Linked DNA regions of Coturnix japonica. The protein of the gene in region 1 binds, or shares a complex with, the protein of each later gene. Links are inferred from orthologs where the notes say so. Each region holds a gene or a part of one and is shown in the gene's direction. Other genes may lie near its edges.

Region 1 (3,825 bases):
GATCAGTCAGGTGCTCAGAGCCCCATCCAGCCTGACCTTGAATGTCCCCAGAATCAGGGCATCCACCACCTCTCTGCGATGCTGCAGTCTGAAATGCCTGATGTGATGATCTGCTCCTTACCCCATACTGCATCATCCCCTTGGTATCTAGCATGATTCTGCTCCTAGGTGCACTTCCCTCCCTACCCTACCATTTCACAGAAGGCACTGACCCAGAGTGGGCCTTTATGTCTTGCTTCAGTGAGCAGATGATAGATAAAATTGCAGCATTACAGAAAGACTGAGACTCCCTGGAGATCATCTGGTCCAATCCTGACCAAACAGGTCCAGCTGGAGTCAGTGGTCTAGGTCCATGTCACCTCTCCACCTTCTTTCCATGTTTCTGTCCCAAAATAGTGAATAGTCTGAGGCAAAGAAGTCTTGGTGCTTTCATCTCCAGTACCTACATTGGCATCACACAGAAACGTGTGTAGAGAGGGAGATGTGCTGAAGGATGGATGGGGTTGTGTCACAAGTCATAAGGGAAGAAATAGCTTGAAACTGCAGTTGGACACAATGCTTTTGGAAATGTAAGATATACAGGACTAGCTAAGGGTGCATGTTTAGACAGAATGAAATTATGCATGACAGACACCCAAGGTATAGGATGGACTGGCCTGGCTGGGAGTTTCATTCCATCTGACTTTGTCTTTCTCTTTCCTTGTTGCTACAGGAAGCTGCTGAAATCTACCCTCGTCCTTATGCCTCTGTTTGGCGTTCACTATATTGTTTTCATGGCTATGCCATACACAGATGTGTCAGGGATTCTTTGGCAAGTTCAAATGCACTATGAAATGCTGTTCAACTCTTTCCAGGTAACTGCTAACTGTGTTGTAGCTGTTAAACCATGGACACAGACCATGAGATATTCAACACAGAGAAGAGGGAAACGAGAGTGCAGAATGTTCTCTTTGGAAACAGTGTTGTGTTTACAGTATGCCAAATTTCATTCACAAGATCATTTGACAATATTTTAGCAGCGGGTATGTTTTATATTTGCAAAACAGAGCGTAAAAAGGGTTAGTGTGCTGCTGTTGAAAGATATCTTGCCCCACAATATCCATGTAGCTCCAGACCAGACATAAGCTGGTAGAGATCCAGAGACATGTTGTTTCAAATTTATTCAGATTTACTTCTCTCAAGCTGTCTTTCAGTCCTGTGAATTCATTCCTCAGTTCTTTCGATTAACATTAATGTGCTGTTTCTTCTTCATTCTAGGGATTTTTTGTTGCCATCATATACTGTTTTTGCAATGGAGAGGTAAGAGTCATAAGCTTTTTAATTATCTCCTACCTGTGTTAAGCTAGTTGCAATGGTGGGTGGTAAAGTGGATGCACATCAGTGTATCCCTCTTTTTCTAGAGAAGCAGCCCTAGTCTGCACTCAGTGAAAGATCTGTCCATCTACACAGAAAGTTCATACATTCATTTTGGTCTTAAAAGAAATACAGATCAATCTGCATCAATTGATGAACTACTGGAAGTAGCTAATGGGGGAAAAAAAGTGTTTTTTTTTTCCTTTTCCCAGCACAAGTGCTGTTTAGTGCCACTTAATATCAAAGCTGTGTCAGGAGTAAAAGCGGATTGATAGAATAGCTGTCTAATCATCGAGCTCTTTTGTTAGGCCGAGCTTTGTTGATCTTTTTATTCTGTTTCAAGTGATGTGCTTTTATTTTCAGATTGTTTTTGAGCTGCCTTTGCTTCTTTTAATCCCTTCTGTAGCTGCACAGTAAAAACTTAGCTGATCAGTGAATGCACACTGAATTATGTTCTTGAACAAACATGAAGCTGCTATGGGCAGAGTTTATGGATTTAAAGGTGAAATGCAACTACAGATAAGTTCCTTATGTCCTGCAGCATGAACCCAAGATGTCTGTTCCAATTTCAACCTCCATAGAATTCCCATCCATGCAGATATTACCTCCTCCTGATGATTCTCTCACCCCTTCTCCTTCTACTCATGTTTTTTTTCCCCCTTGTCTCTCAGGTCCAAGCAGAAATAAAGAAGTCATGGAGCAGGTGGACACTAGCACTTGATTTTAAAAGGAAAGCACGAAGTGGGAGCACAACCTACAGTTATGGACCAATGGTTTCCCACACCAGCATCACAAATGTAGCCACGAGAGGGGCACTTGCCCTTCATCTCAATACAAGACTTATACCAGGGACCCTCAATGGACACCGGAATTTACCAGGTTATGTAAAAAATGGCTCTATATCTGAAAACTCTATGCCTTCTTCTGGACCAGAGCAGTACAACAAGGATGAGGAGTACCTGAATGGCTCTGGGCTTTATGATGGAGACAGACCCACAGTACTTGTTGAAGAAGAAAGAGAGACAGTGATGTAAAGAGAAGAAGAGAAGCAGCAAAAGGGTGAAAAAGGTTCCTGGAGAGCATTTAGTGGGCAAGAATATCAGGCCACACAATGGATGCCAAGGGTTTCCATACCTTTTCTCTGTTCTGTGGAATGAGAGGTTAAGTTATATGAGAAAAAAAAAAAAGAAAAAGTGAGCCATCAATGTGGCCAGCAGGTGATCACACACATATACCCAGTGATCTAAGTCTCCCCAGTGTTAATGGAGGCAGGGCTGTCCACGGGCCTTGCCACCTGCTGAACAACAGAGATGCTGAGAGTTTTTGGGGAGGGTTGCACAGCAGCACGTGGTCCTTTTACTTCTTGGAGGCTTGGGCAGCCAAGGAGAATGGGAATCTCACCCAGTAAAGCAAGAGTCTTGCGGGGAGTGTACATTGCCAACTTCTTGCAAGGGTACAAGCCACACTGGGCATCAGTGTCTTTGATTTGGTTTGCCCTTTCCTTTTTGAATCTGTCTGGTAACACACATGAGAATGACCAGGGACCCTCAGGTACCATAGCTGCCCGTTCTTGCAACCTGGTTCTTAACATGGACAGCTTGGTACAACTTGGGACATGTTCTTCCCTTGGGTATACTCATTCCTTGGCAAAAAGCTCCTCTGGGATGGGCAGGGTTAACAGCTCATGGTCATTAGATAAAGGCAAAAAGCTGCGTTCTTCTTTCCTTGACCTGAGTATCATAGCAAGCCAGAAAACAGTGCAATTTTAAGATGGGAAATGTGGTTATCACAATGTGTGACATTTTCAGTCTTCCAGATACAGCAGTGGAGATGGGCCCACTCTGCCTGCTCCCAGGAAGTTTGAGATGGGGAAGGGTGTTTGCAGATCTCCAGCTTATGTGCCTGTGTGTGTGTAGCTAAGACCAGCTCAGAAGGTCACTATCTCAGCCTCCCTCTTCGTGGAAGCTCATGGAAACAGACATGAGTCACGTTCCTATAAAGTTACAAATGTCTTCTCATCCTCCCCCTCCAAATTACTTGTTTCTCACTAATCCAAACATTCATGAGGAGAAACACAAGATGCTGGATACAGCCAGGCAAACTTGCCTTTATGAGGTTCAAGGGCAAAATCTGCTGGATGTAAGCGCAGAGATGGCTCATGGACAGTCACCTTCTGAGCATCTTCTTTCTTTCCCATTCTTAGCTGTTGGGACATTCAAATGAGTCATACACACACATACAGACATCTGGCCAGCATCTTAGCTGGTGTGATTACGTATAATTTCAGCCAAAGTCACTGAGTTTGACTAGGGATGCTTAGAAGAGGAAATATGATTGGGGTTGCCTGGGAAGGGAAGAGCACAAGAAAATTTAGGTTAGATGTTCAGAAGAAAATCTTTAATCAAAGACTGGAGAGGAACTGGCACAGGCTGCCCAGGGAAGCTGTGGATGCCCCATGCCCTGAAGGTGCTC
Region 2 (3,487 bases), on another chromosome or scaffold:
AAGAATTCCAGTTCCTGACCTAAAATTACTATTGTTATTTCTGACAATTATTACATATATGTTAACTTCTCAATATTTTTTTAATCTTGCACTTGTAGCTCACTGACCCCATCGCCTGCATTTAACATCACAAAGCTGTCCTTGCAAATCCTTCCAACAGCTTCAGATACCACATTATCTTGGGCACAAATCTATGAGTAATTGGGAATCTGAATTCAAAAGTCAAACTCCTTCAGAGCTACCAAGGATATTTTCTTTCTGCTGAGACCTTCCTTTTCCGTGTAAATGCCAAATTAACAAAAGCATCCGAGGGTGGGTACATGAGGGTCAGGAGGGTGTGTGTTGAGAGTGACATCAACTGAGACAATAAAAGGGCTCCTAAGTTACTTAGAAGCTCTATTTTAAAGTTAGATTTAAGGGGTCCACTAAACCAATTCAGTGGTCTTTAAATATACTTGACATCAAGACCCAGCCATCTGCCGACATACCCTGTGCAGGGCAGTATCTGGTGAGTATATCTCTCTTTTTTTATTTCCAAGTTCTCTAGATGATTTTAATCATTGCTTTATTACTTAGCCTTATTTTTAAGGTAGCCTGAAAATAAATGTTAATACAAGCATGATCAAACTGTTTTATTATCTAAACCAAATGTTTGAAATGAGTACATCTGAGACAGTGAGTTAGAATGTAGTGAATCCAATTCCTGTATATGTAATATTGAGTTAGATGGACTGCTAGGACCACATTCATATTAACATGTCAGATGCCATTTAGCAAATGCTTTTCTGCCCTAAAATAAAACTGCAGAAAATACCGTAAAACATCACACTCTGGAGTTTTCTTTCCTTATGTTTCGGTTACTCTGTATAAAGTTTCTTAAGTTATAGCAAAAAAGATGCATTTCCCAGCAGTAAGTGCTGAAAACTCAGTCTGGAAACAGAAATTTTGACTGTGCCTTATCAGTCAGTTGTAGCATCACTGGTAATAAATATTCTTCATGTATGTACTAGGCAGCAGCTTTGCTGATGACACACAAAGCAGTGTGGAATTCATACTAACAACGCAGGATTAGCACTAAAATATAGGAGGCTCGGCTCTGATTTATTTTACGTGATTAAATGGAAAAAGGAAATAACTCAAAGTTATGCCTCTGTGCAGAACTGCCCAGAAGAGTGGCAGCCCCCTCATTCTAAACACAATGCAACTTCACTTTTCAAGACATATAAAGGAACCCAAATTTTCAGCTGCATAGCAATACACGAGTATTTCAACATACTTAAAGCATATCAAATGCAAAAGATAAATAACAGTGCTGCTGAAAGGATGTGGCACCTTCCACCCTGTTATCCAAACTGTGAGTACTTAAATGATGATAATGCAAAGCAATTAAGGCTGACAGAAGCTTTCAGACTTGCCTACAAAGTTACAAAGAATTTCTCAAAAGAAACAGTATTAGAACCATTTTTTCCCTTTGCTGCAATCTATTTCATGGAAAGAATGTTTTTAAAGCCTCTTGTTGTCTGCTGTCATTCTATAACTTTTTTCCTAACCTAAATTTAATTGGAATTCAAAGAATTACTAGAAACACTGATCTATACATTTATTCTCTTCCATCTCTGCAGACAAAAATGACTTCTACAAACAATCTGGCCAAGACTGTAATGATTTTATATGCCTTATGTCTTTTTACCAACTCTGATGGTAGACCAATGATGTAAGTACTTTATTATATGCTTCCAAAGTTTGTGAAATGATGTGAACTATTCTCAAGAATGCAGTCAGCTCGAGTACCGGTTTACTTTAATCTTTCCAGTCCCACTTTTGAACCCCTCAGCCCAGCCAGCAAAAGTCTGAGTTCTAGATAGAGCAGTAGAGATCTCAAAAACATGCCAAGTTTTTAAATGCTTTTTGGAAAGAGGAGATTAAGAATAATCATTTAAGTGTTTGTTTGTTTTTTAAGAAATTTATCATTGGGTAACCCGCATCTATCAGCAGATGCTTGAAGGGGGTCTAGCAGGTGAACATTTTTATTGTGTGACAGCCTACTTGGAACTCACCCTCAGACACTGACATCAATCAGCACTGAGACAAAAATGCACAGGAAATCATGCTTCCTTGCCATGGTGTTCAAAGAAAACTGCCTCTGAACAAATACTGTACTTAGTTGCCTTAACCAGTTAACTACTGTCTTTTAAGCCCTAAGCTTAACCCCAACAGGTAAAAGAAATGATAAAGACATAGCCAAACACTATCACAAAACTGGACTGCTTCCCACATTTGATGCCTTCTCACTCAGATATGTTTCAATTAGCAAATCACCATCCATACTCCCTCTCTACTCCAGATGTTATCCTACTCGTTACAAATGAGAAAGGTGAGCTGTACAGCTCTGTGCTACAGTATCCTACACAAGATCCCAAATCTGGATTTTTATTTGAGATGGTGAATTTAAGAAAGCCATTATGAGTCCTTTCCTCTCTTTCAGGAAGAGATCAGTGAGTGAGATGCAATTAATGCATAACTTTGGAGAACATCGGCACACTGTGGAGAGACAGGACTGGCTTCAGATGAAGCTGCAAGATGTGCACAGTGCCCTTGAGGACGCCAGGACCCAGAGGCCTCGAAACAAGGAGGATATTGTCCTGGGGGAGATAAGAAACCGGAGGCTGCTCCCTGAGCATTTGCGGGCAGCAATGCAGAAGAAATCCATTGACCTGGACAAATCTTACATGAACGTAGTCTTTAAAACTAAGGCATAAGGAAAAAACCAAGAGCATTATAACTGTCCAAGTAAGCACATGTCTGTAGATCACTGATCAATTAGGGCATTTTATTTTTTTATTTAATCTAATAAGGATTAAAGGCTCCATGCCAGACCGTAGCCCCATTGAAATGAGTATTTCACAACTAGATAATAAAATATATTTACAGGCCATCCGTGGCCATTGCTGCTAACTCTTGGGTATCTTCTAACTGGCTGATCTAACTCATTAACTTGTAAGAGAATTAAATAAAAAACAAAAAGCAACAATGACCAACCACAATAGAATAAGAAAGATGAAAAAATACTTAAGACCAGTTCTACCACACCTATGTGGGGACTATTTGACTGCAATCTGTAGGCCTACTTGTACTGCAAACAAACATATAACTGCATTAAGCAAAATGCAGACTTAAATTCACTTTGGATTTTCACAAGAAAGCCTAAAACCAGATAATGTCAAGAACATGCAAAAGCTGCACAGTAATAATTGAGGATTAAAGAGTGTGAACATGAAAAACAGAAGGAACCCAAAGCTTAAGATTAAAGTAGAATGAAATAAAACAAATTGCACATGAAAGAATGAAATTTTACAAGATCCTGAAATGAAGAGAATGTTTATTAACTTCCCTTCTTCCAAAATACAACTCAATTAACTGCAGAAACAGCAGAGATTGTAGCATGTATGTATCATAGCCCTAACTAAAGAACTGGGAAATGGTTCGG

What was found.
Region 2: the proteins of PTH1R (region 1) and PTH are in contact, whole or in part, in a cryo-EM structure (PDB 9JR3), measured with the Homo sapiens proteins. The link is inferred for Coturnix japonica from reciprocal best matches to the Homo sapiens genes PTH1R and PTH. Residues at the interface, in NP_000307.1 of Homo sapiens: Val31, Met32, Thr33, Lys34, Glu35, Gln37, Ile38, Leu41, Glu111, Trp112, Asp113, His114, Ile115, Ile135, Tyr136, Asp137, Phe138, Arg146, Arg162, Thr163, Ala165, Tyr167, Val171, Leu174, Thr175, Glu177, Glu180, Arg181, Phe184, Leu187; in NP_000306.1 of Homo sapiens: Ser32, Val33, Ser34, Glu35, Ile36, Gln37, Leu38, Met39, His40, Asn41, Leu42, Gly43, Lys44, His45, Leu46, Asn47, Glu50, Arg51, Val52, Glu53, Trp54, Leu55, Arg56, Lys58, Leu59, Asp61, Val62, His63, Asn64, Phe65.

The regions. Positions count from the first base shown.
Region 1 is NC_029517.1:3,290,715-3,294,539, forward strand, and holds part of PTH1R (parathyroid hormone/parathyroid hormone-related peptide receptor), read left to right. Parts: intron 1-712; coding exon 713-854; intron 855-1,257; coding exon 1,258-1,299; intron 1,300-2,024; coding exon 2,025-2,387; 3' UTR 2,388-3,825.
Region 2 is NC_029520.1:11,845,102-11,848,588, forward strand, and holds PTH (parathyroid hormone), read left to right. Parts: upstream 1-1,572; 5' UTR 1,573-1,628; coding exon 1,629-1,714; intron 1,715-2,485; coding exon 2,486-2,759; downstream 2,760-3,487. UniProt on the Homo sapiens protein: Parathyroid hormone elevates calcium level by dissolving the salts in bone and preventing their renal excretion. Acts by binding to its receptor, PTH1R, activating G protein-coupled receptor signaling.